2 linked regions of the Chlamydomonas reinhardtii genome follow. The protein of the gene in region 2 interacts with the protein of the main gene of each other region in a pairwise test. Links are inferred from orthologs where the notes say so. Each region holds a gene or a part of one and is shown on either strand. Other genes may lie near its edges. The genes, in order: CHLRE_06g292800v5 and CHLRE_12g516500v5.

Region 1 (4,294 bases), on a different chromosome or scaffold from region 2:
TGGAACCGGTGCCAGGGTAAGGCACCAGTGATGGAAGGGTGCTGCCGTGCCTCGTGCCCATGTCGTGACTACAGCTTCATTGTGCCTTGGACACGAAGGGCAGGGGCGCAAGGCCATGCCCAGGGGCCAGGGCGAGAGCACGAGCTATGCAGCACAGTGAAGCCCACCACTGACAGCAGCAGGCAGGGAGGGGTGGGGTTTGAGCTGGAGCCTTGGAGGTTCAGGCCTTCAGGGGTAGATGCGGCCTCACTGCGCCTTGGGTCCCATGGCCCTAAGCTGCGTCCTCATGCCCATCATGGTTCCACGGACTGGGAAACTTGACAAGCCAGGACAAGCAACACCCCAACCCGCCCGGCGCCCGCCCCTCGCTGATGCGACGCGTTGCATTGCTCAAACCCGTGTTACCCATCAACAGGCACACCCTTGTCCGCTCCCTCCGCCGCCAATGCACCTGACCGCATCACTGCATCCATCCGCTGATTGCGTTCACTGCATGCTTACGGGCGCTGGGCACTCCTGTGCAAGACCCGGTCATGCTGCTGGTCCTGTGGGACCGCCCCACGCACGATACCCTCTGCAACGGGGTCTCGAGGGGTCACCCTGTTCTTCGTGGTTGTACGGCGCGGTGTGTTGTGCATCCCTTGTGTATTAAATTATACGCGTTTCATCTCTGGGTGAGCATGGGGTGACTGTTGCTGCCTGCAATGCCTAGCAAACATACAACTCATCACCCACAATCAACAGAGGCGGCCAGCTAACAACAGTATAGGCGTCCCTTGAAGGGCTGAATGCCAGATAGACCTGACCTAGACCTGCCACGCCTAGCACCAGCTCACGTACACGGTGGTGCCGACGACCGCTCTCAGCCGTCAAATAAGGGTGTGGGCTGACTCGCTCTGCCGCATGTGAAGCGATATGCTCACCACCATGCCAACGCGGCCAGCCATGCACTTCTGCTCTGCCGCTGCAACTGGCTTGCCGTCTGCTTGGGGTATGGGCGTCAGCTGCACCCTACGGGACCTCGCCAACCTGCCTAAACCCTGTCCCATCACACACCATGCCAACGCGGCCTGCTGGCCAATGCCATGGCACTCCGCATCGACCGTCCGCATTGACCTAACTACATGTACTCCTGCAAGGATTCACGCACCGCAATCCTAATAGTACAACACGCGAAACGGTTGGGACGCTGCACAGCGGAAAACTGCAACGTGCACGCCATCTCCCAGTTGCCGCGTGAAAGCCCCTGCTGCCATCGCGCGACCAACTCCTGCTGCAGTCAGACGTGACTCCTAAGCATAAATGCTGGTGTGCATACAAGCGTGGCGCGCATGGGCCAGCGCCAAATCTCCCATTGCGAACTATCCCTGCCGCCATACCCTACTCAGCCCAGCCCTCCACCCCCGTGTGCGGGTGGGAAGCGCGATGGCAGCTTTCGCACGAGACCGGGCGCGCCGAGCTGCGCGCCCGCATGGCCTCTACGCTGCACCACAGCTGCTACAGCTCCTTTGGCTGCTACAGCTCCGCAGCCATTGCTGCTGTTGCGGTCGGGCCTTTAGCCCTGCGCGTAGCGCTTGGTCCACTCCGCGGCCGTCTTGTCGTGAAGCTCGCGGTCCTCCATGTACTGCTTAGCGATGGAGCCCACCAGCGGGTCCTCTGCAGCAGCGCAGAAAGGTAGGGAGGAGGGTGCGGATGAACCGTGAGTGGGGAGGCATGCAACGCAGCCGCATGTGCGTCGGGCGCGGGAAGTGATTGGTGCCAATACGGCGCAGCACTGCAGCCCCTGTGGCAGCGCTGCACTTCCACGCTCCCAACAACGCATGATTCGTGCTGCGTGATGGCCAGCTGCGGCTGGACACCCGCCATTGACTTTGCCTTACAACAACTAGCCTAGAACAACCTGCCACACATATCCCAGTTGGTGCTACACGCGCTCGTAACGTGTTCCTTACTGGGGTTGCAGTCCGTGAGCAGTGAGCAGATGGACAGCAGCACTTTAGAGATGGTCAGCGCCGGGCTCCACTGCGTAGAAGAAGTATACAAAGGCGAGGAGGGGAGAGGGTCAGCTCCTCCGTTGGGTTGGGTGCAGGCCCAAGCGAAGCGAGTGGGCCTGGCAGGCCTCGTGCCAGACCTCCCCCTTTTGCGCCATCCAGCATCGCGCACCTGGTCTTTGAGGATGTCCAGGCAAATCTGCCCTTGGCTGTTCACGTTGCAGTGGTAGATGCGCGTGCGGAAGACAATCTGCGCGTCGGCGTGACACCCGCGAGCCCAAACGCGCTAGGTTAGTACACAAACGTTATCATCCCGTACGTCTGCGAGAAGGGTTCAAGGCGATTGCCTCACAAAGCAGCGCGAATGCCGACAGCTGGGGCCCCAGCCAGAGCTCTAACCTTCGGTGGCTTGAACGGATAGTCGTGCGGGAAGGTGATGTCTAGGAAGAAAACGCCTCCCGAGTAGGGGCATCCTGCACTCAAGTGGGAGCAGCAGGCTCAGCACAGCCGCGCAACCCAAGGGTTCTTCAGCTGCGACCTTGTCCTCACCTGATGGTCCCACAATCGTTGACACCCACTCATATAGGTTGTCACCCTTTGGCCCAGCCGAGCAGTTGCAGGGCGGGTCCAAGCTAATCTCTGCGAGCTCCTTCTGAATGCGCTTCGCCGATGAGGAGAGCTGGCTGCCCTTCATCCTCTACTTCCTCGCCAAATGCAGCGCCAAGGATGGTTTGAATACTATCACAGTGGCTCACAGTGCTTCTCACGTCTTGAAATTGGAGTTCTGAGGCTCGCTCTTCTGCCCTAGAAGTGTCCAGCTTGTAAGTTATATAATTGGTGGCACAGCTTATGTGGAAGCTGGTGGAATGACCTGATGGCCATGATTTGGGGCGCATCCGCGCATGAGCCCGGGAACTCGAAATCCAGCGAAAATGGACAGCGGGCCTGTAGGCAGCGTTGCAGACCTTGAATGCCATTTACCTTTGTATACCTCACCATATACATTCATCCCCTGACAGACTGTCCCCACGTAGCAGACCGGGCAGCGGTAGCCGAGTGCCATTTTCAGTTTTCAAAGCAAGCGCGCAGAGCCAACACCAGTGACACACGCCGGGGACAACGTCTGAGACCTTGACATCTTCAGATAAACACAAGCACTCAGGTGCAAGGCACGTAGGGCAGACGTAGGGCAGCATTTACGTGAACCGTCGCAGCCCTTTCTTCTAACAAGCGCCTCGCGCGAGTCTTGGCAGCGTCAGTACTGATGACATTGACTCGACGTGCCAGTGCAGCTGCGGCCGCAAATGGGGCCCAGGTCGCAGCGCCTGTGCAAACGCCGGCAATAGCAAGAGGCGGGCGTGCAGCTGCGTCCAAGGCGCGAGCAGCTGAGCCAGAGGTCGCTGTTGCCGCGGAAGAGCACGGCGACGTCATGGCTGTGGACGCCACAGTAACTATAGCAGCGACAGTGAGCAAACGAGGGCACAGCTCCGCGTCGGCTGCAAAGCAGCAGCCGGCCGTGGCATTTGAGGAGCCCCAGCAACAAGAGCAGCCCGCGAAGCGGCCACGTGGCCGGCCGCGGAAGTCGGTGCCCGCGGAGCAGGGTGTGGTTGGGGCACCAGCGCTGACGCCCGGCAATGCAAGCACCGAGCAGGAGGAGATCGATGAGCCTGCGGCCAAGCGCGCGAAGAAGGGAGGCCGGACGCCCAAGCCGGCCGTCGCCGCGGCCGCCGCCGCCGTGCTTGCAGGCGCCGAGGAGGTGCTGCGGCTCACGTCGCCCAGGCGCTCTCCGCTGGCCCCAGTTAAAGACTCGGCCCCGGCCGCCACCTCCAGCGACAGCGCCAACGGCACGACCGATGCGCCCTCCACGGCCGCCAACGGAGCTCCCGGCGCCGGCCCGGCTGACGCCTCGCACCAGCTGCAGCCGCACGACAGCAGCACTGCCTCTGTAGCAGCCGGCATCGGCGCCACCGCGGCTGCCGCCACCATGCCGGCGACTGTGTCGCCGGTGCTGGTCGGTAGCCCCTCGCGAGCGACCGCGCGGCCTCTGCTAGCGTCGCAGCTGCTGCGCAGCCCGCCGGCCTCACCGCGCCGGCCGCTGGTAGCCACCGCCGCTGCGGCTGCGGCCGCTGCAGCGGCCAAGGCTGCTAGCCCCAAGCCAGCGCCGGCTGTAGCGGCCACCTCTGCAGCTGACCCGGCATCGACGGCAGCAGTGGCCGCACCTGCGGCAGACACCGTGGCAGCACCCACAGCCGGAACGACCCTGGAACAGACCGTCGCGCAGGTGCGGCGGCTGCTGCAGACCG
Region 2 (4,391 bases):
GCCAGCAGGCAGATGGCAGGTGCACAAAGCCAGGGGCACAACTTGTCAGCAGAAGCCACCGGATACCACCATGCCCATTGCCTCCGCCCATCCTGTACCAGGGCACCCGCTGAACTAGACGTTACCAACCCCGCCCCGCCCCAGCCCCTCGCCATTTACGGTATCCGGGCTTTGGCCATCCCCGCCGCCTCCCACCGGATCGCACCTGGTTGATGAAGTACTCAAAGCTTTCTTTGAGGGTGGCGGCGAAGGCCTCGCTGCGGCCGAAGGCGCCCGCCACCACCTCGTCCAGCCGCGACTTGAGGTCCAGCAGCCGCTCCACCATCTCCTTGTCCTGCAGCAGGGGGCGGGGGCAGCGGGAGGCAGTGGGGCGGAGCAGCGGTGCATTCGCGACATAGCAGCGGCGAGCTCCCATGCTGGCATGGGCCGCATGGCGCAACACGCGCAAGCAGCCTCCACACCTAGGCCCAGCCAGCCTCCGCCCGTCACCTCCTGCACCCCAAGCCCTTCCTGCTCCGCTCGCCACCGCCTCCGCACCTTCTCCTCGTCCTTGACCAGCGCCAGGCCGGTGGAGCGCACGTACTCGCGGAACGCCGCCCGCAGCGCCTCGCTCGCGCCTACCCGCCCCAGCAGCCCATACAGGCGGCCCAGGTCACCCACACGGTGCCCGTCCAGCAGCGGCCCCAGCCCCCGGTCCAGCAGCGGGCCGGTGTGCCGCGCCACCAGCGCGCCCTCCACCGCGGCGATGAGCGGGCGGCGCGAGGAGGCATCCAGGTACTCGCTGCAGCGCTCAAACTCCTCGCCCAGCCGCGTCTGCGTGGGCGAGGGGAGGGCAGGACCAGGGCGAGGGGAGGGCAGGACCAGGAGGCGGAAGCATGGTGTGTGCGGGAGGAGTAACGAGGCGTGACATGGCAGCAGGCTGGTGCGACCGCGGGCAGGCACCTCATCGCAGGTGCTTTACCCGCCCCCAAATGCTTTGGTACATAAACCGCCCTTCCGAGGCCTCGCCTCTGCCCCTGCTCCTGGCCGCACCTCGCAGTGTTTGAGGTAGGCCGGCACGTCCAGCTCCGCCACTAGCCGCTCGCCCTCGGACCGGTAGAACTGCCCGCTCGCCTGCAGGTAGGCACGGACACGCACAGGCACATGCGCATGGTGTGGTGCACGCCGCGCTAGACACACGCCACCAACAACCAATTGCCTGCGCCAGTGACACAGTTTCCGGCATTCGCACCCCTCCCCCTTCCCCATGCCCCACGGCCCACGGCATGAAGCTTCCGGCATGTCCCGCTCCGCCCGGTACCCATGTCGCATCCCCCCCGCCCTCTCACCCCGCCCCTGCCTCCTCCAGAGCACCATTGCGCCAAGCCCCTAGCCCAGCCACACCTTCATGAATGGCTCATGGAAGGCGTCCGTGTAGATGCCCAGTGAGGACAGCATGCGCAGCAGCCGCTGCAGCAGGGCCCGGTTCACGCCTTCGCCGCAGCGCTCCCGCTGCACCAGCTCCAGCAGCCCCTCTACTGTGCGCTCCTTGATCTGCGCAGCAGGCGGGCGAACGGCATGTTGGCAGGGCCACCAGCAGCACCACCGCTCACGCCCATACACAGCCGCGCAGTCGACCACCTGCGCGGCCCTAGCTCCAGCGACCTGTACCTGCGTGGCCGTAGGCCGCAGGCCCCGCCGCGAGCTTAGGCCCCACCTCGCAGCCCTCAACTCTCCCACCAGTCCCTGCCAGTCCCCCAGCCGCCACCTCCCCCGTCCTCCTCCACTACCGCCACCGCCCACCTGCGGCCGCTCCGCCAGGTGTGTGCGGAACAGCGCCAGCCCCATGTCGAATATGGACTTGACGGGCGTGGCGCTGCTGCTGAGCTGCAGCACGTGCGTGCGGTCCAGGTACAGGAAGATCTGCCGCGTCAGCAGCATCTGGCTGCAGTGGTCCTGCCACACGCTGTCCACACGGTCCAGGTACGGCACCGCGTCCAGACCCAGGCAGTCGCCCAGCGAGCCCACGTGCGCCGCGATGTGCGCATCACACTCCTATGTCGGGTATCGTCATAAGTCATGTGGCGTGGCGTGTGGCGTGTGTTGAGGCCCGCCGGCCGTGTGAGGTTGCAGGTTATGCAGGTGTGAGGTATTGTGCGAATAGGGCTGCGCGTGAAGCAAGGCCGAGCCCCAACGTCAGCCCGCCAGCCCGCCCCACACCTTTTGCAGGCGGGTGTAAAGCTTATCCGCCATCTTATGCATGCACATATCCTGAACCGCCTGCGGGGGGTGATTGCGGCCATGAGGTGTGGGACACACAGTCATGCGACCACGGCAGCGGAAAGCAGCGGGCCCTTCGGACAGGTTGGTTGCATGCAACCGACGGCGCCGGCGCCAGTACGCCGTACACGATGCCTGTGTACCAGCTTGCCATGCAACCCAACCCTCGTCGCAATCCAACACCTTATTCGGCGCCCCTCAGAACAGAGCCCGGTCGGCCGGCCGAACTTCCCACCGTGTACAGCTCCTCCAGGCTGTTGGACACGGGGCGTTTGCAATGCACCGCAATGATGCAATCGCGCAGCTTGCTCCATGTCGACTCCTCGAAGTTGGCGGGGAGCTCGGGCTTGACTGGGCAGCGCCGAGGGGTAGGCAGGGGTGCGCACACACGCGTGACCGGGCGAGCCACAAAACCTTTTCCACAACCCCCACTCCGTAATTTTCGGGTAGAGCGCACCAGATGCAGCAAGAGGGACCCCGTACCGCACCTTTAAGCGGCTTGATGACCAGCTTCTTCGCCTGCTGCGTGTTCGCGCTTCCTGCGACAGGGGCGAGACCCCCAAGCGGGGCCCCGCCCTTGCCTCTTACTGCTGACATCCCCGCTCCTCGCAAGTTTTATTGAACAGCAACCATTCCCCGGAAACTGCACGCGTGGCAAACGCGAGCGAAAGAACCTGTGCAACGCGCTATGTTGCTTCTCGCGAGTATGTTTCGTGACGCGAGCTGATGTATGACACTGGATATAACAAGCGAAATGCGGTTAGGAGCAACTGGATAATCGTGCAGAAGAGAGGCAGAAGAAAACATTTGCTCTGCATCATGGGCTTGTCCTACTCTTGCCCCATATGCCCTCTCAACGCTGGTGCAGTCACAAACTAGTGTCTTTAGGTATATTACTTTGTACTGAGGCAAGAACCAGGGCCAGAAGGCCCGCGTGTTTGCCTATTAGAGTTGCATCCTTCTTCCCTGAAGATTTGCCCTCAGCAACCATGAATCCCATCAATGGCCTGAAGACTATTCTGCATCGCGTGGGCTTTGCCATGCGGGAGAGCGGCCAGGCGCTGGAGCGCGTGGGCTGCAGGCTGCAGGGCGTTTACTCGTTTGAGGAGAAGCGTGAGCTATCGCATGATTTTCATCTGCTGTAGCCTTGTATTGCGATGCCAAGCAGAGGCACTGAAGCGTGGGTCCATTTTCCGCAGTGAACCGGCACGCCACGGTCCTGCCCATGCGCCACAACGTGCCTAGCCTGGACAAGACCTCTTGGGTGGCGCCCTCGGGCATGGTCTCGGGCAGCGTGACGCTTGGCGAGAACAGCTCCGTTTGGTATGGGGCCATCGTTCGCGGTAAGTCGACTCCTTGCCCGTGTATGATGCAGGAGTATGATAATGAGTCCATGTATGTAAACATTGGCAAATGGCTCCCTGCGCAGGCGACTTCCAGCCAGTGGTCGTGGGCTCGAACAGCAACATTCAGGATGCAGCCTACGTGGGCGCCACCAGCGAGTTCAGCGGGCCAGTGACCATTGGTGACAACGTTTCGGTTGGACATGGCGCGGTGCTGAAGGGCTGCACGGTCGGGGACAACGTGCTCATCGGCATGAACTCGATTATTTCGGAGCACGCTGAGGTGGGCAGGAGGGGCCTGCCGGCAACGGCAAGTTTTGACAGTGTGGTGGCGCACCGGTGGCATTGGAACCACACGGGGGTGAATGCGTGCCTCAGGCAGGGGCGGGGAGGTGCGGGTACGTGGCCGTGGTGCCTGGGCCAGCGCCCCCCCACGGGCCTAGCTAGCTTGTGGCCTGGTGCCGCAAACTAATAACAGAGCTTCGGTCTCCGCTGCACGGGTGACTTGTTGCACGTGCAGATCCAGTCGGGTGCCGTCATTGCCGCGGGCTCCTACGTGGAGGAGGGCACCACCGTGCCGTCCGGGGAGGTGTGGGCGGGCAGCCCCGCCAAGAAGCTGCGCGACGTGCGGGCGGGCGAGGCGGAGTACCTCAAATCGCTGCCGGGACGGTACACGGAGCTGGCGGGCGAGCACAAGGGCATCATGAAGGTGCTCAAAATGAAGCAGGCGGAGTACTTCGCGTAAAGCGCAGCGATGGCGATGGTGAAGGAGATAGCAGAGGTCAGCGG

What was found.
Region 1: the proteins of CHLRE_12g516500v5 (region 2) and CHLRE_06g292800v5 interact in binary tests that used the Arabidopsis thaliana proteins (3 or more experiments, as listed by UniProt). The link is inferred for Chlamydomonas reinhardtii from reciprocal best matches to the Arabidopsis thaliana genes CUL4 and FUS9.

The regions. Positions count from the first base shown.
Region 1 is NC_057009.1:6,457,340-6,461,633, forward strand, and holds CHLRE_06g292800v5 (uncharacterized protein), read right to left. Parts: upstream 2,823-4,294; 5' UTR 2,686-2,822; coding exon 2,541-2,685; intron 2,465-2,540; coding exon 2,391-2,464; intron 2,242-2,390; coding exon 2,164-2,241; intron 2,023-2,163; coding exon 1,953-2,022; intron 1,657-1,952; coding exon 1,556-1,656; 3' UTR 636-1,555; downstream 1-635. Other genes in the region: CHLRE_06g292850v5 (uncharacterized protein), read left to right, coding at 3,421-4,294. UniProt on the Arabidopsis thaliana protein: Component of light signal transduction machinery. Involved in repression of photomorphogenesis in darkness by participating in the CDD complex, a complex probably required to regulate the activity of ubiquitin conjugating enzymes (E2s).
Region 2 is NC_057015.1:3,956,546-3,960,936, reverse strand, and holds the start of CHLRE_12g516500v5 (uncharacterized protein), read right to left. Parts: upstream 2,995-4,391; 5' UTR 2,857-2,994; coding exon 2,748-2,856; intron 2,611-2,747; coding exon 2,495-2,610; intron 2,260-2,494; coding exon 2,200-2,259; intron 2,035-2,199; coding exon 1,783-2,034; intron 1,534-1,782; coding exon 1,384-1,533; intron 1,114-1,383; coding exon 1,033-1,113; intron 814-1,032; coding exon 538-813; intron 335-537; coding exon 206-334; intron 1-205. Other genes in the region: CHLRE_12g516450v5 (uncharacterized protein), read left to right, coding at 3,249-3,372, 3,459-3,602, 3,689-3,885, 4,123-4,347. UniProt on the Arabidopsis thaliana protein: Component of the CUL4-RBX1-CDD (COP10-DDB1a-DET1) E3 ubiquitin-protein ligase complex which mediates the ubiquitination and subsequent proteasomal degradation of target proteins. Participates in the CDD complex to light-mediated control of development.